Linked DNA regions of Xenopus tropicalis. The protein of the gene in region 1 purifies or fractionates together with the protein of each later gene. This does not show direct contact. Links are inferred from orthologs where the notes say so. Each region holds a gene or a part of one and is shown in the gene's direction. Other genes may lie near its edges.

The links.
Region 2: the proteins of epb41l3 (region 1) and pnn purify together in Homo sapiens (co-immunoprecipitation; 3 studies listed by BioGRID and IntAct, with this or other methods). This does not show direct contact. The link is inferred for Xenopus tropicalis from reciprocal best matches to the Homo sapiens genes EPB41L3 and PNN.
Region 3: the proteins of epb41l3 (region 1) and clns1a purify together in Homo sapiens (affinity purification with mass spectrometry; 3 studies listed by BioGRID and IntAct, with this or other methods). This does not show direct contact. The link is inferred for Xenopus tropicalis from reciprocal best matches to the Homo sapiens genes EPB41L3 and CLNS1A.

What each region holds. Positions count from the first base shown.
Region 1 is NC_030682.2:106,252,869-106,261,437, forward strand, and holds the start of epb41l3 (band 4.1-like protein 3), read left to right. Parts: upstream 1-2,989; 5' UTR 2,990-3,117; intron 3,118-8,569. UniProt on the Homo sapiens protein: Tumor suppressor that inhibits cell proliferation and promotes apoptosis. Modulates the activity of protein arginine N-methyltransferases, including PRMT3 and PRMT5.
Region 2 is NC_030684.2:104,722,801-104,729,929, reverse strand, and holds the end of pnn (pinin), read left to right. Parts: intron 1-479; coding exon 480-574; intron 575-696; coding exon 697-772; intron 773-899; coding exon 900-1,055; intron 1,056-4,210; coding exon 4,211-4,349; intron 4,350-5,097; coding exon 5,098-6,374; 3' UTR 6,375-6,559; downstream 6,560-7,129. UniProt on the Homo sapiens protein: Transcriptional activator binding to the E-box 1 core sequence of the E-cadherin promoter gene; the core-binding sequence is 5'CAGGTG-3'. Capable of reversing CTBP1-mediated transcription repression.
Region 3 is NC_030678.2:168,849,333-168,857,325, reverse strand, and holds part of clns1a (methylosome subunit pICln), read left to right. Parts: intron 1-3,859; coding exon 3,860-3,996; coding exon of another isoform or gene 3,997-4,002; intron 4,003-7,993. UniProt on the Homo sapiens protein: Involved in both the assembly of spliceosomal snRNPs and the methylation of Sm proteins.

The sequences.
Region 1 (8,569 bases):
TGATATCTTTTATTCTGGAATACCCAAGTAGAAGGATCACAAATTCCCTCAGCATTTAAAAGGCTTTTTCAAACTCTGATGGATAACATCAGAGTAAGTAGGTGGGGTGAGGGTTATCAATTGCTCTGCCTTTTCAGATTTTAAGTTGCCACCAGAGAAACTGCTGATTTGCTGCCTCCAACCCCATATTTATTATGTACTTGTGGGTAGATTTCGATGCAGAATTGTGGGGTAGAAGTCACTGCATTGGCATCTTTTCCAGTGGCCAACAAGCAGCTCCTTCTCGTCTAATGCCATAGTCAAGGATCACTTAGACTACCTGTGACTATTTGCAAGTAGCAGGCAAGACAACTTGGTTGATTCTTCAACTAGAAATAGTTTTTATTTTATTTAATGATTGGGAGCTCACTCTGTCTCCATCTGTTTAGGATCACTGTGCTGAAATAGCTTTGTAAATATGGGGTAAGGGGGCTGTAGTGAGGGGTGGATCACAGTAGGGCAACAAAAACTGTAACCCCACAGGGGCCCTCAGTTTTCTTGTCACATACATCAGCAGATTTTTCACTAAACATCTGTAACACAATGGTACTCTCAGTGGGTGCTCCACTCCAAATTGTAGCGTGCTGCTTTTTAGTGTGACGGCAGGCAGTAGATACAGCTACCGGATTAACATTGTTCTCACTGCTCACTGCTGTTTCAGTTGGGTTCACCACAGTTCGAAGCAGAACAGATTTTAAAATAAGGGGTGAGCTGCACCCTTTTATTTATGAAAATATTGTGAGATGAGCATGAAGAGAATAAATGTGCCAGGTTAGGAAACGCTGGAAAGTCATGTTGGCCATGAATCAAGTTGTGCATGTGGCTTGCAGGCTTACCTTTAGAGAACCATTCTGCTGGGGGACAAATAAAAATTGTGCAAAAATACACTTTTTTGGCAGTGTAACCAGACAAGCAAATGTTGTAGTATATAGTCTCTCTTGTACATTTAAATCCCCAGTGCAATTCACGTGGGTGGCTCTGATCTCTAGTTTGAGCAAATAGTAACCCAGTGTAAGCTGTTTCACACACATAGCAAATAAATTATGGTTATAACCAGATGATTTTCAGTATGCTAATAGTCAGCACCACAGAACAACCCCCCTAGGTTCCATCTGTCCATGCACCCAGTATATTTCTTTATCATCCACACAATCCTGCACAGCAGAGTGTATGTATATGAACTATGTTGCCGCATTCTGAGGTCACATCACCTGGCACTAGAGTAGACCTTGCTGGAATTAGGGACGGGTGGATAGAGCTTCTAGCAAAGATTAACTAGCACTCTAATCACAGATATGACAGCCTGTGCTGAGCAGGAGACATTGTTGAGCTGTTGCTTTTTGAGTATTGATGACTAATAGAAGATCATAGGGCAAAGTTAAACCTATGTCAGCAGAACCAAAGCACTGGCACAAATGACCATAAATGGCTCTCGTAATTATGGATATTATTACCAGGGGTTGTTTTTAACCCCATTAACATTTTGTTTCCTGTTCTTAAAGCAGACTGTTATCTGGGGTTGGGAATGCTGTCGATTTGAGTGCAAAATGATTTCTGTGTAGCATAGCCTGATCTGCAAGATAGTCTCATTTACAAAAACAGTTGTGGAAGGATGTCAAAGATGCCAATTTCTAAATGAAGCTTTCTCCAGAGTACACATATCTTGGACCTGTTTGTCATTCTCTTTTATTTATGCCAAACATCAGCTTGAATTTATGGAGTTTAATGAGGGTGGTTTTTGAGCTAGTGACCAGGACAAAGTCATTGTTTTTTCTTGGGATGTGAAAATGTTAAAAACGTGTATTTTTTTATTGGTATGTGTAGGCTTTGATTTGTAGAAGCTGCAGTTTGGAATGGAAAGGAGTGAAGTCCCAGTAAAACAGATTGCCTTGTCAGCCTTGCAAAAGGATGCCAGCATCAGTTCAGATTTCAATGTCTGCTTTTATTTAACAGAATGTGCTAAGATCTGTACATGCAAACAGATGTTAGGTTTTACCCTCCTTGTACTCCAACTGCTTTTTTGCAAACATTCATTATGCATTTTATTCTGTTACATATAAGGTTGCATTTTGTATATTAATGTACATTCTGGTAAAGTGGTTTTATTTGCTTTTTCTCAGCTTTTGGTGCAGTGTCATAACTAGGGTCATGTGAGCCCTGAGTAAAAATTTGCAACAGCCCCGCCAACAATATTTTTATGAAGAGGCAGATTTTTTCCACAATGCCACTAATATCACTGGGTCCACAATAGTTATGCCACTGGTTGCCACTTATTTCCACATCTCATAATACCCTCAGATTCTTCATCCAATGCCCTCTATTTACCCATGTCCAAGTTATTGCAGTTTTCTTAGCCTTCTAATTATAAAGACATTTTATGTGCCCATGGGCCCCTTTGTTGATTTTGTGCCCTGGTGCAATCACATTATTGGACTGAAATCTGAGAAGCTAGTTACCACAACCCCGTTACACCCTTGCCAAGCCCAGATACTGTTCCCAACCACACAGTTATACCCTTTGCCCCCCTGCACCTATTTTCCATTCAAATGAAGGAGAATAACCCAGTGTAGAGTAGGCATGTCCAGCAGGAATTGCTTGGAGTGCTAAGTGATATAACTTTTTCATGTCACTTTTTAGAAATAATATTTCTGTCACAGGTTTAAAATTCACCAACACTCATCATTGTCAATTGGCTCCCTGTTCAATATATGTTATTTTATTTTAACCTATTCCCCTTAGTTACTTCTCTTTTTTTACAGAAGATCGTGTGCTATATTGCCTAATAAACCACAGGATACAAGGACAGCAAAAAAAAAAAAAAAAAGATATCTCTAGTCAGCATATGCAGTGTCACGTTTACTATTAGCACAGATTTGATTGTGAAATAAGTCTGTGAATCTTGGCAATAGTACGTGGAAAATCCATCCATTTTACTTCTCTTTCCTGAAACGTATTCATTTACATTGAAGAAATTCTAACTTTGCCTTTCATTTTTTACATGTATCCTGATATCGGATTATGGACTTCATGAACATCTGTGTGGACACCATACTTGCTGTGGGGGTTACACTGCTGTTGGTGAGTAACTGAGGTTTCACAATAATCTTTGCATAGTGTTGCATGCACTGATAAGGTCTGATTACATTATGTTTTTATTGTTTATTTTACATTTGAGACTATAGCTTAGGAAGGATACCTTTCTCTACACAAGTTTCTAATTATCTGTTCCTTTGCACCTAATAAGGCTGGGTCAATGCACAGGTTAATCAGAATGATTCTGTTGCATTTGAGGTGGGAAGTTTAGCAAATTATGATTTTGTAGTCCTATGGCTATAAGTGATAGATTATCTGCTGATGAATTGCAGTCTTCTTCCTCTAGTGTCTTGTAAGAATAAGTCATGCATTTAAGTAATACTTAGAAACAGTAGCTTCTATATTGTTCTTACCTGTGTCGAAGAAAACATAATAAGCAGGTTAAAAGGTTGTAATAGAGAAAATAGCCTGTACACTGTAATTGCTCGTTGTCACTTTCAGTCATTAGGTTTTGGTCCTATCTTTAGTTATTTTTTATAGACGTGGAGGAAAGTGGATCTGCTTTTATGCGCACACCCTGTAGCTTCATTAACAGACCCATTGTTGCCCTCTGTGGAGCTTTAGGAAGGGCATATTGGCAAGAGAACAGGAATGTATGCATTTTCACATCAATATCCTCTATGTGGTCTCTTCCCCACAGCACAGGCCTATCTCTGAATTCAAGCCTCAGATACTTCTAAAATCTTTGTGTTAAAGTCAGTTGTTTGTTAATGCAAGGTGGAGGGGTGGTGAGAAGCTCTTACTGAAAGAACTGTTTACATCCTTACTATAATATACCACACCCCAAAGCATAAAGGGAAGAGTGATGGCTTCAGCACTGGTATCATAAGAGGAAGGAGCATAACTATAGGGCAGTGTTCCCCAACCAGTGGCTCCTGAGCAACATATTGCGCTCCAACCCCTCTTATATTGCTCTCCGTGACCTCAAGGTAGGTGCCAGTCCACATCGGGGCTACCAAATAGCCATTTGTAGCTCTTACTGGCCCCCCAAGGAACCTTTTTTATGCTTGTGTTGCTCTCCAACATTTTTTCCTGTTTAAATGTGGCTCACTGGTATAAATGGTCAGGGACCAGGGGCACTGCTATAGGGGTTGCCACCGCAGGAGTGCTATATAATACAGATATATAGATCAGTGATGAGCAACAAGTGATTGTGGGTGCTATGAGTGGTCAGTTACAGCTCACAAATGCTAGGTGACCCACCAGGAATAATATACTGGAATGGGGTGCCCTGAAGAGAATCAGTGTCAGATAGGCATTCCAGAGGCACACAAGAAGACCTTATACCACAAGCCTATTGTCCTCTCTTCAATTATTTCCATTTTACAAGCAATCATCTATTCTTCCCTCTATATCTGTACCCAGGGCCGTTGCTGGCCAAATGGGTGCCCTAAGCAGAAATTTACTTTTGTGCCCCCTCCCCCAAATATTACGGAAGTAAAAATAAAATACACAGAGCCCCCAATTGCCCCCATAGACAATGCCCCCATAGTAAGTGCCCCCAATAGCCCCCATAGATTGATTGAACTATCCGGGACAGCGGGATGCGCTATAAAAACCGGGGGGACAGTGTTGGGGGGTATGTTATAATATATAAAAATGTTTTTTTTTGGAGCAGCTGGGATGGTGCCCCCCTGGGAGTTGGTGCCCTATGCAGACTAAGTACTCTGCTTATAGGGAGCGGCGGCCCTGTCTGTACCCTTTCTTTCAAGCAGAAATGGGCAATAGCCATGGTATAGGCCGGCATACCAGGAGCCACTGGGAGTTTTCTTTGTACCCTTGTGTTGCTGTCTGATACTGATTAAAAGGTTTTGCCAAGATAAATTGGGTAGCCAGGTACCACATCTGAGTCACTTGAAATTGTACATGTTGCCCATTACTGGTAGAAGTCATGCAAGAGTCATAGGTAGGAAGTAGGAAGGGGCCATAATATCTGGAGATTAGACAAGTTTGGTTGTGCTAAGATTATGTGTGTGTGCTTATGAAATATGTGTATATGTATATATGGCAAGTTCCATAATGGTGCGCACCATTTACTTAGTACAGTGCCCTGGTGCCAAAGTCCATGCATATGTATAACCTAAGAGCAACAACAGATAGCACACAAGGGATTTGTAAAGCAAAAAAAATGCAAAAATGTATTGATTCAACATTTTGGCCTCCACAGGGCCCTTCATTGGGGGTATATTAGTGCAATGCAGCCCCTAATGCATTTTGGCAGTTATTTCATTTAATTTATCTTGTACGTCAAGTGAAATATGTGTTGCCATACTTTGGTATGTCTGTTATGTGCAACAGATATACAATATATTACATGCATGATAGAGAAATATGATGCTTTTCCTGTAAATGTAATTTTGCTGTACTTTATAGTAATGTTTTAAGCAGTGATACTGTGGCTGCTTCTTTCATACACTTTCATTTCATAGCAAGTTCTGTTCTACACTGACTGTGGAGGCTTAAGGGCCGTGGCAGACGGGGAGATTAGTCGCTCGCGACAAATCTCCCTTCTCGCGGGTGACTAATCTCCCGGAAATGGCATTTTACCGGCGAGAATGTAAATCGCCAGTGGGATGGCATACGCGGCGCCGCAATTGCCGAAGTTGCCTGTCGAGGTTGTATGTTTCTTTTATTTGATTATACTGGGCTGTTTTAGTGCAGACAAAAGCCGTAAACAAAGCATGGCATATAAGCTTGGTCACGTTACGGTAAAAAAAAAAAATTCTAAATATTACTGGGACTTATTGGATGCCTTTTACTATATATATGGGCCAGTGTTGTACTGACATTGAAAAAAAACAGTTACATCATGTTTGCTACCCCTAAGTTTAAAAGGGCAATATTTATTCTACATATCTACATCTACAACAGCATTAATCAATGTGAAATTTTGCTTTTATGAGCCACAGTAAGACACTTGGTAGAGAAAGCTGTGAATTAAGAAAAGCCATCCTATTAAAGAGCTCATACTACAGGCTGGGACTTGAGTCACATGTATTTTGTATAGTAACCATTAAAGGTTTTATCAGGACTATTACCTCCATGTTTTTGGCTATTAATGTTACCTAAACTCAGTGGGAACCATTTAACATCTACTGGGGATGGATGCTTGTCTCTACAGTAGTTGTTGCTTTGGCTGGGTCAACACATATGGGTTCACATATGAGCAACACAGAACCAGAAAGCAGATAAATTTGACTTTGGTCATTTGAATTGAGTTAGGGTTACTAAAAAGGTAAGACATTAAGGGGTCTCCTGGGTGAGTGCCCATCATTTCATGCCTGCCTTTCTAATTATTACCTAAGAATGTGATCAGAGATACAGACCTATTGGCTCCCATCTGCTTCAGAATGAGTGTGGAATACTCAATGGCATCACTCAGTCTTTTAGCTCGGCTTCTGCAAACCTTTTAGCATTATGTGTATTTTTATGCTTACTTTAATCACATCTCTGAACGTGTGATCTAGCCGGTGTTTACACCAATTAGAGGTCCTGAAAATGTATGAAAATTCCGTACTGCATAGATTTGCCTTATGTGCTTAATGGAAAAGTTAGGATGGAATTTAATTGGGTTAGCATGCTACTATAAGCTTTTAAAAACTTTGTTTTGACAGAACTATTTCTCCTTTGGAGTTTGTTTTAAAACTGTTACTATACTAAATCATATAGTTGTGTTAAATAAATTAGGGACAAAAGTCAGTTTATTTGCAGTGGCATCACTTCAGTGCAAATCTACCTTGGTACCATCATTATTGCTGATGATAATTTCAATTATCCAGTCAGCACCATTGCAAGCCACAAGTCTGACACCGGATGACACCAATGTGCTGGAAGTGGCACCTGCAAGCATCCTGTAAATGAGCCCACATTGTAACCTGTTCTGTGCCATGTGCTGACAATTTCACTGTATAATCACGTTTTTTTGCTAGCAATGCTTTATAAGTGCCTATAAACTATAATTTTTATTCCATACATGGATTGCATATTGGGTTTTGTAGCATAATTGTGCTTTCAGCTTAATATTGTTGCTTAATGGGGTTTTCTGCCACGGTGAAAGGTTAAAATCTTGTACTGTTCAAAGGTTGTAGTAATAATCAGCAAGACTTAGCTGGCGGCAGCGGAAATTTGTTTAGCAAGGATTTTTTCCCTAGGCTGTAAACAACTTTATTGCCCACTGTTCATTTTATGTGGTAAAAGCTTTGCTGGCTACAGGGTTTTGCAGATCGAACAAGGGTTAAGTCTGCGGCTGTGATGGGAGATTATCGCTTTAGAGATAAGGAACCATTTTTTAGAGGCCACCTTATTTGGATGTGCTATTTCAGAAGTTCCTTTTATCTCCCTTTTGCCCAGAGGCTCTTATGGCTGTGGCTTTATTTTTAGACAAGGATTTTTATTCAGTTCAAATGGAGTCTATGGATGCTAATGGAATAAAATTTACAAATTATCTTTAAAAAATAAGGAAGGATAAATCACGTTTTTATAAAATATTATGATCACTTAACAAGCATATGTTGTAGTCCACTAACTTAGTTTTATTGATTGTGCAAACAGAACTGTCCAAAAATCCTGTTTGTCTGAAAATCCTCTGATACAGAGACAGCAGTTTGTAGTGTTTGATTGTGATTTAGCCCTTATTTATTTAAACTTGTGTATTATAATGTGCAATAAAGCCAGGGCCAAAGGAGAGATTTTTAAAAGCCCCTTAGCCCAGCCTTATAATCTGTTAATATATGTGTATTGACAGTGTGACTGTTGCAGGTGTGGTTTAGGCAGTAGATAAGTTGACATATTGTGTAAAAGTTATTTGGTAATTTTCCTGTTGAAAGTGCCCTTGTCTAGTTTTTTGGGAAATCAGAAGGCCCGCCGCATTTCCTCAGGCTTTGTATCTTATCAGATTCTGCTGTTGGAAACAAGGTGGAGTGTTTATCAAAAAGTAGTAGCTGAGAAAACTCTTCTAATATCTTTTCAAAATGGCACTAATACAAAGTGAAACCATGCCTCTTTGCATTCTAGACCTGTTAAGCTGAAAGGATTTTTGAGACCACAGCCTTTCCAGTAGGTGTATTAACATTTTTGGTATAGTAATGTCCGATACAATTTAGACTACTAATACATGGTATAGCAGATATATAAGCCATGTTTTCATATGTGACTAACTGTAAAAGGTGCTTGTGTCTGTGCACATTCAGTGCAATGGCAAATGATTAGAAGCATTTTGATGGGGGTGCCACAAATGACATAAGCCTAAAAGCTGCAGGGAGTTGTCAATTACAGCGGATGAAAAACAGTATTCTTGCCTCTCCTGGTTGATCAGTAAATCTAAAGGTTTCATTTTATTTGTAAGTAAATTGTTGCAGATGATCTGTACTTGCACATTAAGAAAATAGTTTTTCCCTTGGGTTATAACAAGGAGTCAGGCAGGAGAATGCAGATAAGA
Region 2 (7,129 bases), on another chromosome or scaffold:
GGATGGGTTGAACTTGATGGACTCTGGTCTTTTTTCAACCCTATGTAACTATGTGTCTGTTTAAAATCAGGGGTGGGTTTGTCCTAATGGTCCCTGACAGACACACAGTGGGTGGGGCATAGCCAATTGCAACCCTGCAGTGACACAAGCAAAGACAGGCTTCAGTTTCTAGGTCAGCCTAGCTTCTGATTGGTTCCTATCCTACAATGAAGTGCTCTGAGGGCTGCCAGCTCCCCTGCACAGTTTGGGAAAGGGGGCAGCGGGAAGAAGAACAGATGGGTGGGATTGGTAGGGGTTTTTTGTGAAATTTTCAGTACATCTGCCTGAAACACTACTCTCAAGTATATTTAGAGAAGTATAATGCGCTGGCACATTCTTGTTTTTTATACAATATATCTCCTTTAATCCAAGAGTGGGGTTGCTTTAATGTTGTCCTACGTGTCAAAGGTACTTACTCCTATTTTGTTTCTAAATTGTAGCCAGCGTTGCAGTCCTCAGTTGTTGCTACCTCCAAAGAACGTACACGCCGAGATCTTATACAAGATCAGAACATGGATGAGAAAGGCAAACAAAGGTAGAAAAAATTTACTTTTGCACCCCCCCCCCCTTTTTTTCTTTTTTGTCAAAACAGTTGACTTAAAATCGAAGTTGGAGGTTTAAGTCTTGCATATAATTTTATTTTCTTCTTAATTACAGGAATCGGCGAATATTTGGCCTGTTGATGGGTACTCTTCAGAAGTTTAAGCAAGAGTCAAATGTGGCAACAGAGCAGGTAATGTATGCTTGGTAATTTGTAATTTTTTGTCTGTGCCAATATAACATGTCATGCAAATATTTGTTTTGCACGTCTTCAGCCAAAGTGACTAATTTACTTACAATTTCTCCTATCCAAACTGCAGCAAAAAAGGCGCCACGAAATAGAACAAAAGCTTGAAGTGCAGGCTGAAGAAGAAAAGAAACAAGTGGAGACTGAGAGACGTGAGCTCTTTGAGGAAAGGCGGACTAAACAGACAGAGCTACGCCTTCTGGAACAGAAGGTTGAGCTTGCCCACTTGGTAAGTTACACACTAACTACATTTTAAAAAATTGGTTTATATGTTGTTCTAATAGTTAGTGGCTGCTTTGAAAAGGGACCATTTCTACTTCTGATTCATTTTAAACTATGTACAAATGTTCATAATAAGCATGCAGCAAATCAGAATAGCAAACTGAATATGAGATCTAATTGTGGACTCCGGGTTAAGCATAGTCAAAAATTGCTTTAATTACCCAGACTTATTGAGATGAATAAAACTGATATGGGTAATCCTGAAATTTTCATTTGTAATTTCAAATTATGTCCAGCTTTCTGGTGCTTAAAGCAAAATCTGAATTATGTATTTGTTTGGAAGTACTCAGTGCACCTGTCCTGATTTAGATGCGCCATGGTGAATTTTGTGTGGGTGAATGCAAAGCGTTCTACTACATTACTGTAATCTATGCACACTTAGATGCAAAAAAAAAAAAAAGAACTTTTATTAGAATACACACAAGTACAAAACACCTTCAAGAAGCTGCAAGATTTGTCTAATAGAAAAATCTCCACTTGTAATATAGGGGTTACAATCAATCTGTAATCTTTGTAAACCATATAGGGCAGATATGAGAGATACTGAATAATCCTAGGCTGTACCCTGGTTCTCTTGGCCTACAGACTGCAGCTGTCAGACAAAATAGCATTCTAATCAAAAGTATTATCATATCTGTATCATGTGATGCGAGTATGATGATGGCACTGTAAAGTGCACACTAGGGGTTTTGTCTATTTATAGGGTTTGTACCAGCAGGACAAATTGCTGCATCTTAATAGTAATGATGAAATCCAATTCTTTATCGGATCTGCAAAGTTTATTTATTTTTGCATTCAATTTCGCCTATCCAAGGGTCTTTTTGGTCTTCCACATGGCTATTTTCTTTTGAGCAGTTGTCTGTGTGATAGACATGGATGCAAGCAGACAGCTTCTCACAAGTAAAGGTTATATCATTCCCCTGTAAAAGTGACAGGCAAGATCAAACTGGCCTAAAAAAAAATGTTTCCGTTCGATTCTCACAGAGCAACTGATGGCCACGGACTGACTAACTTTTGTAGTGTGACGACACACAGAGCTACTAGTACTGTGTTTCCCCGAAAATAAGAACTACCCAAAAAATAAGCCCTAGCAGGATTTCTATGCATTTGTTAAATATAAGCCCTACACCGATAATAAGACCTAGTGATGGGCGTGGCTCCGCGCTATGCATTTCGGCATGAAGCGATAAGGAAGACTGGAATACCTTTTATCTGCCCTAGCTCCTTTCTCCTAGCTGTTCGCACGTGTGGTAACCGCAGACGCAGGCAATCCTATTACACATGCGCAAACGGCTAGGGGAAAGGAGTTCATGCATCACTAGCGCCAGCCCCACCAACAAGGTCTGCTCTCCCTGTCATGTCCAGGCCATACTGTCTCCTTGTGTGTCCCCAGGGGGAAGAAGGAAAGCTGAGGCTGCTATTTTACCCAGCAACAGTCTGTGGGCCTCTCTCACCCCCCCCCCCCCCCCCACTGGCAAATGTGGGTAAATAGCATGGGCAAGAGTAAAAAAAAAAAAAAGAATTTTAAATGAAAGTGTACTGAACAACAGTTTTTATTTGAGGAAACTGAATTGAATTTTTCAGTTTCTAATGTTTAAGACAAACTATTTTTTTAAGGGGGGCAGGATACTCCTTACCTCTTGTATTGGTTATTGGTTCTTATGTATTTATTCTTTTATGTTGAAATAATGTATACATACATTTATCATACAATGTTGTGGAACATTGTCACTTTGTAACATAGTAAGTTAGGTCGAAAAAAAGACATATGTCCATCAAGTTCAAACATAATGCCTATATAAACTGCCTAACTGCTACTTGATCCAGAGGAAGGCAAAAAACCCCATCTGAAGCCTTTTACTTGCCACAGAGGGGAAAAAATTCCTTCCGGACTCCAAGATGGCAATCGGACCAGTCCCTGGATCAACTTGTACTAAAAGCTATAGCCCATAACCCTGTATTCCCTCACTTGCTAATAAGCCATCCAGCCCCTTCTTAAAGCTATATAATGTATCAGCCAGTATGACTGGTTCAGGGAGGGAATTCCACAACTTCACAGCTTAAACGGAACCTCCTTTCTTCTAAATGGAATGAGTGCCCTTGTTTCGGTTGGAAGGACCTACTGGTAAATAAATCATTTGAGATGTTATAATATGATCCCCTTATATATTTATACATAGTTATCATATCACCTCTTAAGCGCATCTTCACCAGTGTAAACAGACCCAACTTGGCCAGTCTTTCTTCATATCTGAGACTTTCCATACCCTTTACCAACTTAGTTGCCTTTCTTTGGACCCTCTCTAATTGAATAATGTCCCGTTTGAGCACTGGAGACCCAAACTGAACAGCATATTCTAGATGGGGCCTTACCAGCGCTCTGTAAAGGGGAAGAATAACCCCCTCCTCCCGTGAATCTATACCCCTTTAATACAGCTCAATACCCTGTTTGCCCTTGCCCCTGCTGCCTGGCATTGCTTGCTACAGCCAAGTTTATTATCTACAAGGACTCCAAGGTCCTTCTCCATTATGGATTTGCCTAGTGCAGTCCCATTAAGGGTATAAGTGGCTGCATATTTTTAAATCCCAGGTGCATGACCTTACATTTATCCACATTAAATCTCATCTGCCACTTAGCTACCCAGATTGGCAGTTTGTCAATATCCTGCTGCAAGGATGTCACATCCTGGATAGAATTGACTGGTCTGCAGAGTTTTGTGTCATCTGCAAACACTGATACATTACTCATAATACCCTCCCCTAAGTCATTTATGAACAAGTTAAACAAAATGGACCCAGTACAGGACCCCACTGGTAACCTTACTCCAAGTTGAGACTGTACCATTAACAACCACCCTCTGTACCCAATCGTGTAGCCAGTTTCCTACGCACGTGCAAACGACTTCACTAATACCAATAGACCTTAGTACAGAAAGCTGTCATTTGTGGGGAACAGTATCAAATGCTTTGGCAAAATCCAAATTATCACATATACTGCACCCCGACTGTCCAGCTTCTTACAAACCTCATCATAAAAAGCAATTAAATTGGTCTGACATGAACTGTCATGTTAATAATTTAATGGCTTGTTTTCTGTTACAGCAAGAAGAGTGGAATGATCACAACAAAAAAATTATAAAATATATAAGAACCAAAACAAAGCCGCATCTGTTCTACATACCTGGCAGGATGTGTCCACCGAGCCAAAAGTTATTTGACGAGTCTCAGAAAAAACTGAATGGTAAGTATGTTTGGCTGTTAGGAACACAAACTAGTATTAAGTAACATTATAGAGTTGATTGCACACAAGAATGTTATTGCTGCGATTAATGGCAGAACTTGTTTGAATTGTGCAGGGACTTTAAAACAAATTAAGAAAGAAAGTTAAGAAGAAAACAGCAAAACATCTTTTACATTGCAGGAGTCTTTGCCAGTCTGATAAAATCAAAGGATATGTCCCCAATGCAATAATGCCTAACTAGTGTATTCTTATAAAATTTAAACTGTATAGAAGTCATGTTGTCTCTAGTCTAAAGGTAAATGGGGCATTAGCCGTAAAGAACTGCGTTGCAAGTGTGCACTGTCAGGCATTAATGTCAGTATGACAGCTTTTTGGGTAGCTACCCAATGAAAGCACCTGAGAAGCAACCCATAATCACAACCTCTGCTTATCTGCTTTGCCACTGTGCAGTAGATATCTCAATAGCCAGTGACTAAAGTAAGGCAATTCTAGGTGTGCTTGTAAGAGGTGCCTTAAAGTATGAATTGTGAAAAACAATTCTATAGGTATAGTTTCATAGTCCAGGAAAGTAGGAGTTGTAAAATTACATTATGCCAAGTCTTGTTTTTACTTCTAAGCTGCTAATGACCATTGTACTTTTTCACATAGCCTAATTTACTCTGTAAGTAAGGTATTTTTTGTAACATTATAAAAATGTTTAAATATTCTATTTTTCATTTCTTTTTCTAAACCACCCTTTTTCCTTTAGCAATATTTGAAAGCAGGCGGCTTGAGTTTGCTGAGCAGTTAAACAAAATGGAAGCTAGGCCTAGGCGTCAGTCCATGAAAGACAGAGACCAAGAGAAGAAGCCAGAGGAACAGAATGAAGAACATACGGAGGATCAAGAAGATGGTAAGGTGTCTCGGCATGATAGAGAGGTTGAGACAGGTAACCAGCCAAATGATGTAGATATGGAGGACACTCTAGAGGAAGATAAAGAGGTTAGCATTAGCGTGATGGATGTAGAAATGGCACATGATGCTAGAGGAGTCGAAGATATAGAAGATTCTAAGCAGATGGAGGAAAAGATAGAAGAGGAGGGTAGAGTTGAGGTAGAAGAATCCCAGAATAGTCAGTGGGAGGAAAGGGAAGTAGAGATTGTTGAAGAGGAAGTCAAGGAAGAAGAAACCAAGGATGAAATAAAAGAGGATATTAGTGAGGATCCGCAAACATTTGAGGTAAACCAGTCAGAGGTATTAGACTTGTTAGAGAATGTAAAGGACGGTGAAGATCAGAGTGAGGTTCAGACAGAAAATAATTTTACGCTTGAAGCTGAGACAGAAGCTACAAAAGAACCTGAACCTGAGAGGGAGGCTGACTCCCCAGAGAGACCACAGAAGGAGCTGGAGTTAATGTTCCCACCACCGGCCAGTTATGAGTCAAGGACTCAGCCTGAACACCACTTTAATGTGGATGAAGAGCATTTTGCTGAAAAAGAACAGATAGTGGCAGTGACTGTGCCTGTGGCTGAGACACAAGTAGAATATGCCCCAAAACCAGCCTCAGTCCATAAAGCTAAAAGAAGTAGGAGCAGGGGAAGAACTAAAAACAAAATGGGTAAAAGCAAGAGTAGTAGTAGCAGTAGTTCAAGCAGTAGTTCTAGCTCTAGTAGCAGTGGGAGCAGCTCTAGTAGTAGCAGTAGCCGAAGCAGTTCAAGCAGCAGTAGCAGCAGTGGGAGTAGCAGCCGAGACAGCAGTAGTAGCAGTAGCAGCAGCAGTAGTGAAAGTCGAAGTCGCAGCAGAGGTCGTGGGCATGCCAGAGATGACAAACGCAGGAGGAGTGTGGAGCACAAGAGGAGAGATGGAGCAGGTGTAGAGAGAAGTCACAAGTCTTCAAAAGGCAGTGGCAGAGACTCCAAGGGATCCAAGGACAAAAGTTCAAGGTCTGACAGGAAGAGGACCACTTCAGAAGGTAGTCGGTCAGGAAAGCGACCCTCAAGAAGTGAGAGAGACCGTAAATCAGACAGGAAGGACAAAAGACGTTGACAGATCCAACATGTGCTTACATATTTTAAGTCATCCCCTGGGAAGATATGGTGCTGCCTTAGCAATTGCATGATAACCATTTTGGGAAGCACAGACTTTTATTTTTCTTTTACTTTTTTTTTGCATAATTTTGTAATAGGTTGATGTCAGTTCTGATCAATTTAAATAAAACAAAGAAAAGTAAAGAATTTTACCAATTTTTGCCTCCTTCTGTTTATCCACTTATACAACAACCGTATTTTTACTAACACTTTGAAAAGGCAGGCAGTTTGTTATGAATGGGCTGGCTTCGTTTGAGGCAAAGGCTTTTCAAATACACAATTTGCCAGTCCATTGTAGGAAAAGATATATTTGAGAATAGATGCAGATTCTCAGCAAGTAGGACAATTATAATGTGCTCTGCTTTGATTGCAAATTTGTTTTTTGTTTTTTTTTTTTTAAGGATTTTGTAGGAATGGCACTTTTTTTTACACTTGAAGCTTTTGCATGCATACAACTCCCAGTATCCCTCCAAATGCTAGAAGATGGTAGAGTACTGCTACATTTGGCCAAAAGTTGCCTGTCTCAGAGGTGATGCAGAGTTCTTGTTCTGATATTTGAGCCCTGAGTATATGTGCACGCCACAGATCCGAAAATGCAATATTGAGCAGTATAATAAGTATTTTATTGCTGATGTGAACTAGCAGCTTTTAAGGAAACTGTTAAATACAACTTTGTAACTTTTTTGTTTTTGTAATTCATTAATAGTGAATAGT
Region 3 (7,993 bases), on another chromosome or scaffold:
TACAATAGGGGGTACTTTATTCACTATATATTATAAGGAACTCCTTGGGGGCTTATAATATCCCTATATGTTACAATAGGGGTACTTTATTCACTATATATTATAAGGAACTCCTCGGGGACTTATAATATCCCTATATGTTACAATAGGGGTACTTTATTCACTATATATTATAAGGAACTCCTCAGGGGCTTATAATATCCCTATATGTTACAATAGGGGGCACTTTATTCACTATCTATTATAAGGAACTCCTTCAGAGCTTATAATATCCCTATATGTTACAATAGGGGTACTTTATTCACTATATATTATAAGGAACTCCTCGGGGGCTTATAATATCCCTATATGTTACAATAGGGGGCACTTTATTCACTATATATTATAAGGAACTCCTCGGGGACTTATAATATCCCTATATGTTACAATAGGGGGCACTTTATTCACTATATATTATAAGGAACTCCTCGGGGGCGTATAATATCCCTATATGTTACAATAGGGGGCACTTTATTCACTATATATTATAAGGAACTCCTTGGGGGCTTATAATATCCCTATATGTTACAATAGGGGTACTTTATTCACTATATATTATAAGGAACTCCTCGGGGGCTTATAATATCCCTATATGTTACAATAGGGGGCACTTTATTCACTATATATTATAAGGAACTCCTCGGGGACTTATAATATCCCTATATGTTACAATAGGGGGCACTTTATTCACTATATATTATAAGGAACTCCTCGGGGGCGTATAATATCCCTATATGTTACAATAGGGGGCACTTTATTCACTATATATTATAAGGAACTCCTCTGTGACTTATAATATCCCTATATGTTACAATAGGGGGCACTTTATTCACTATATATTATAAGGAACTCCTCGGGGACTTAAAATATCCCTATATGTTACAATAGGGGCTGCTTTATTCACTATATATTGAGTGATTGTGTAGCGTATTTGTTACCTGTATAACCTGCTGGCCATAGGCTAAAGCTGGCTATACACGGGCCGATTGTAGCTGCCGAGGTTGGTCCCTTAGACCTATTCGGCAGCTTATCGGTAGTGTAGGGTCCCCGAACCGACTGCACCTATTACCGGCGTTCTAACTCGATCGAATTAGCTTGAATTCCCCCGATATCCCCCACCCGTAGGTGAAGGAGAAGATCCGCTTGTTTGGTGACCTCGCCAAGCGAGCGGATCTTAACGTGTATGGGCACCTTAACACACATTCCTACACATATTGTGTATAGTACTGACTGTATTATATATATATATATATATATATATATATATATATATATATATATATATATATATATATGCACAGTAACCAGCGTATGGTATAGTCAGTACAGTGTTACCCTATATGTTGGGCTGGCATATTTTGCAGCGCTGAATGGAGATTATACATCATTCCTGCACCAGGGGAGTTTGTAGTCTATAGTCTCTGTAACATACACTAGGTCCAGTTTTAGCAGGAACCAGTTATTCTGCCTTTATGTTGGGGGGTGAACCGTAGCACTTGGGGGGTAACCCACACAGACATGTACAGGACATATATATTCTTTGTAGATGGTTCCCTTGCTGGAAGCAAACCTAAGGGTGAAGACACATGGAGCTGCTAGTAGCAGCTACTTGTCGTGGCTACTAAATGCCAGAAAATCCCCTGCCATAGACAATACTGAGAATTGCCTCAGCTAAAACACATATAGAGACAATTATCAGTAAATGATCAGCATTGTCTATTTCTGTAGCCACAACAAGTAGCTGCTACTAGTAGCTCTGTGTGTCTTCACCCTAAGGGTGAAGACACATGAAGCTACTAGTAGCAGCTACTTGTCATGGCTACTAAAACAGACAATGCTGATCATTTACTGATAATTGTCTTTACATGTGTTTTATCAGAGGCAATTCTCACTATTGTCTATGGCAGGGGATTTTTTGGAGTTTAGTAGCCTTGAAAAAGTAGCTGCTACTAAGTAGCTCTGTGTGTCTTCACCTTAAGGGCTCTGGCACACAGGGAGATTAGTCGCCCGCGACAAATTCTCTTGTTTAAAACCTCACCAAACGAGCCAGTCTTATAGAGCTGCCTTTAGGGCTCTGGCACACGGGGAGACTAATCTCCCCGAGTTGCCATCCCACCGGCGAAAATGTAAGTCGCCGGTGGGATGGCACATGCGGCGGCGCGATTTCGCCAAATCGCCGAAAATGCCTTTGTGAGGCAACTTCGCCGATTTGGCGAAATCGCCTGCGCAGCGTGTGCCATCCCACCGGCGACTTACATTTTCGCCGGTGGGATGGCAACTCGGGGAGATTAGTCTCCCCGTGTGCCAGAGCCCTAAAGGCGGCTCTATAAGATTGGCTCGTTTGGTGAGGTTTTAAATAAGAGAATTTTTCTCCTGATATGGTAACCTACAGTGGGCAATATTGGGCTAATTGGATCATTTGGTTACAATGACAGGGATAAGAGCCGTTGGAGTGAGGACCACATCAATGAGATGAACACAGTCCTTTATTGGATTGGTGGGGTGGGTGGGGGGCCACATACATGGGCAGATAAGCTGCCGGATTGGTCAAGACCACTGTGACCCTTATTATATGGCACAGATAGAGTTAACAGGATCACCCCCTACATTGCCAGTTACTTTAGTCTCTGATTGTCAGTCAGTGCAGGGGCTCATTTTTTTATATATAATTAGGGATTCACCAAATACACTATTTTGCAAATTAGGATAAGGAAATGTTAAAATTAGGATAATGTAGTAATTATACAAATTATTATTATACAAATTAAGATAAGAAAGGTTTAAAGAGGATTCGAATTTGGTTCGGCCGTATCCAAATCCTGCTGAAAAAGGTCAAATCCTGGTTTTGGTGCATCCCATATATATATATATATATATATATATATATATATATATATATATATATATACACAGATTGCAGAGTGGGGAGCACACCAAACTTTAGGTACAATACCTGGGTGCCAGAGCCGCAAAATGTAGATAAGTGAATGAATGTCGGCACTCACAGGATTCTCACAAGGATGTATCACAGACAATATGGTTGAATGCAACTAGGTGAGGTTTATTGTCCTACGTTTCGGTTCTTTACTGGAACCTTCGAACCTGACGAAGGTTCCAGTAAAGAACCGAAACGTAGGACAATAAACCTCACCTAGTTGCATTCAACCATATTGTCTGTGATACATCCTTGTGAGAATCCTGTGAGTGCCGACATTCATTCACTTATATATATATATATATATATATATATATATATATATATATATATATATATATATATATATATATATATATATATATATATATATATATATATATATATATATATATATATATTATATATATATATATATATATAGCAAGAAAAAAGAGCTGCACTCACCAGGACTTGGCAAAAATATAGTAAGTTTATTTAAGCAAAGAGATCCAACGTTTCGAGCACTAACTGTGCTCTTTCTCCCTGAGGAAGAGCACAGTTAGTGCTCGAAACGTTGGATCTCTTTGCTTAAATAAACTTACTATATTTTTGCCAAGTCCTGGTGAGTGCAGCTCTTTTTTCTTGCTATATATATATATATATATATAATATATATATATATATATATATATATATATATATATATATATATATATATAGCTAGCACTAGTGAAAGGCTACCAGTAGTAATATCTCATTCCTGACCAGCCATTAAAATTATTATTAGAGGAAACTGTTAGACTGAGGGATGGGAGCAGCAAGCATAATACACCTAATTTTAAACCATTATTTTTTCTGGTTCCCTAAAAACAAATTTAGTGAGATTTTCTGTTTCTCTTTCAGTCGCCTATCATGGCTGAATGGTTCCGGCCTTGGTTTTTCATTAGAATATCCTTCAATCAGTCTACATGCAATCTCCAGGGACACGGCCGCCTATCCTGAGGAGCATCTCTACGTCATGGTGAACTCCAAGCTCGGAGGTGCGGGCAGGTTTTTGTCTTTGGTGACCTCTTAGTTCAGCTTTGCTGATAGGCTCTGCTAGCAGTGTTAGGGTAAAGACACACAGAGCTACTTAGTAGCAGCTACTTGTCACGGTTACTAAACGCCAGAAAATCCCCTGCCATAGACAATACTGAGAATTGCCTCTGCTAAAATACACGTAGAGACAATTATCAGTAAATGATCAATATTGTCTGTTTCTGTAGCCATGACAAGTATCTGCAACTAGCAGCTCCGTGTGTCTTCACCCTTATATGCGGCATTATATATATATATATATATATATATATATATATATATATATATATATATATATATATATATATATATATATATATATATATATATATATATATATATATTACACCAGCGCTACACTGACTGCAGAAGGTTGAGAGTTTTAGTTCATCACATATAAATAGACTCTGGCTCTTGCACCATGCACATTCTTAAAGGAGAACTAAAGCTTAACTAAAAACGTAGGGCAGAAATGTTGTACATTGTGTTTTGGGTTTCTGTATAAGCCCAGGGCAACCACAGCCCTATAGCAGTGAAGATCTGAAGATGCCCCAGTTGCCCCCCATCTTCTTTCACACTTATTCCCAGCACATGCCCTGGGCTGCCGTCAGTAACTGATCTTAGGGAACCACTCACAATAGACTGTATATATAGAATATACATTTTACAATATAAGTGAGATAGTGTAGTAAATAATACAGATTACATGGCAGCTCTAAAACCAATGCAGTTAGCATCAGAGCTCAATATGCCCAGAGCACACTGAGCATGTGTAGTGTCACTGACACTCCTAACAAAATCCAGGATAGGGAGCTCCTGTTCCCTATCAGACCCACCTAGTTGCTGATTGTTCCTAAGCTACAGTGCAAGTGCTGCCAGCTTCCCTGAACAGCCTGGGAAAGGAGCCAGCAGGAAGTGAAACACATGGTTTTTGGAAATGTTTTTATGAAATCAGCCCAAAACACTTTTCTTAGCACATTCCTTCTATATTTAGAAGCGTAAAATGCATTGGCACATTCTTGTTTTTTACACAATATGCTTAAAAAGCCCTAAGAGTGTCCCCTCTGCCTGTACAGTATCTGCTCCCACTAATCAGGGAAATAGAGGTAACTGTTGTGAGGAAATAGCATTTTAAATCACAGATCAACAAGGTGCTAAAATGTAATTTAAAATTCGTTTTCTGGTGGTCTTGGCTTTTGGCTGTAAACTACTGTTGAAATCAGGCTAACATGGATGCTACTGACTGGATTTACATTTGTAGGCACCAAATAAAATATATGGGAGATCCCTTATCTGGAAGCCCATTATCTAGGAATTTCCAGGTTATTGTAAGATCATCACCCATAGAGTCTATTTTAGGCAAATAACAAAGTGATTTCCTTTTTCTCAATAATAATAATAATAAAACAGTAACTTGTACTTGATCCCAACTAAGATATAATTACCCCTTATTGGGGGCAGAACAGCCCTATTGGGTTTATTTCATGGTTAAATGATTCCCTTTTCTCTGTAATAATAAAACAGTACCTGTACTTGATCCCAACTAAGATATAATTACCCCTTATTGGGGGCAGAACAGCCCTATTGGGTTTATTTAATGGTTAAATGATTCCCTTTTCTCTGTAATAATAAAACAGTACCTGTACTTGATCCCAACTAAGATATAATTACCCCTTATTGGGGCAGAACAGCCCTATTGGGTTTATTTAATGGTTAAATGATTCCCTTTTCTCTGTAATAATAAAACAGTACCTGTACTTGATCCCAACTAAGATATAATTACCCCTTATTGGGGGCAGAACAGCCCTATTGGGTTTATTTAATGGTTAAATGATTCCCTTTTCTCTGTAATAATAAAACAGTACCTGTACTTGATCCCAACTAAGATATAATTACCCCTTATTGGGGGCAGAACAGCCCTATTGGGTTTATTTCATGGTTAAATGATTCCCTTTTCTCTGTAATAATAAAACAGTACCTGTACTTGATCCCAACTAAGATATAATTACCCCTTATTGGGGCAGAACAGCCCTATTGGGTTTATTTAATGGTTAAATGATTCCCTTTTCTCTGTAATAATAAAACAGTACCTGTACTTGATCCCAACTAATTTTCCTAGAGAAACTAAAGCTCCCCCCCCCAAGGAAATGCCTCTAAAGTGAGGAAAAACAAAATGTTCCAGAAACATGTAAAATGTTGCTGGCACTTAAAGGGTTAAATCATCATTGTGACTGCAGATTGGGGGAGAGAGGCTCTGACTCACAACCTGACAGTCCCACGAAATGGAGCAGTCAAAATGGTTTCTTTCTTTTGCTACATAATGGCTTAAATAGGTCAGGCTGCATCTTTGTGTGTATCATTTGGAATGCGGGGGATGATTTTAGCTGTGCCTGGGTTTTTCTCTTTTAAAGGGGAAGTTCATTTTTAAATTAATGTTTAGTATTGTATTGATAGACCTTTTCTTTTCTGGCTAATGGTAACTTAATACAGATATGGGGCCTGGGCCTTTCCAGACAGGGATCTTTGTGCAATATGGATCTCCATTCCTTACGTCTACTAAATATCAGTTTAACATTAAATCAACCCAATAGGATTGTTTTACCTTGTTAGTTGGGATCAAGTACAGGTACTGTTTTATTATTACAGAGAAAAGGGAATAATTTAACCATTAAATAAACCCAATAGGGCTGTTCTGCCCCAATAAGGGGTAATTATATCTTAGTTGGGATCAAGTACAGGTACTGTTTTGTTATTACAGAGAAAAGGGAATCATTTAACCATTAAATAAACCCAATAGGGCTGTTCTGCCCCCAATAAGGGGTAATTATATCTTAGTTGGGATCAAGTACAGGTACTGTTTTGTTATTACAGAGAAAATGGAATCATTTAACCATTAAATAAACCCAATAGGGCTGTTCTGCCCCCAATAAGGGGTAATTATATCTTAGTTGGGATCAAGTACAGGTACTGTTTTATTATTACAGAGAAAAGGGAATCATTTAACCATTAAATAAACCCAATAGGGCTGTTCTGCCCCAATAAGGGGTAATTATATCTTAGTTGGGATCAAGTACAGGTACTGTTTTATTATTACAGAGAAAAGGGAATCATTTAACCATTAAATAAACCCAATAGGACTGTTCTGCCCCAATAAGGGGTAATTATATCTTAGTTGGGATCAAGTACAGGTACTGTTTTATTATTACAGAGAAAAGGGAATCATTTAACCATTAAATAAACCCAATAGGGCTGTTCTGCCCCAATAAGGGGTAATTATATCTTAGTTGGGATCAAGTACAGGTACTGTTTTATTATTACAGAGAAAAGGGAATCATTTAACCATTAAATAAACCCAATAGGGCTGTTCTGCCCCAATAAGGGGTAATTATATCTTAGTTGGGATCAAGTACAGGTACTGTTTTATTATTACAGAGAAAAGGGAATCATTTAACCATTAAATAAACCCAATAGGGCTGTTCTGCCCCAATAAGGGGTAATTATATCTTAGTTGGGATCAAGTACAGGTACTGTTTTATTATTACAGAGAAAAGGGAATCATTTAACCATTAAATAAACCCAATAGGACTGTTCTGCCCCCAATAAGGGGTAATTATATCTTAGTTGGGATCAAGTACAGGTACTGTTTTATTATTACAGAGAAAAGGGAATCATTTAACCATTAAATAAACCCAATAGGGCTGTTCTGCCCCAATAAGGGGTAATTATATCTTAGTTGGGATCAAGTACAGGTACTGTTTTATTATTACAGAGAAAAGGGAATCATTTAACCATTAAATAAACCCAATAGGGCTGTTCTGCCCCCAATAAGGGGTAATTATATCTTAGTTGGGATCAAGTACAGGTACTGTTTTATTATTACAGAGAAAAGGGAATCATTTAACCATTAAATAAACCCAATAGGGCTGTTCTGCCCCAATAAGGGGTAATTATATCTTAGTT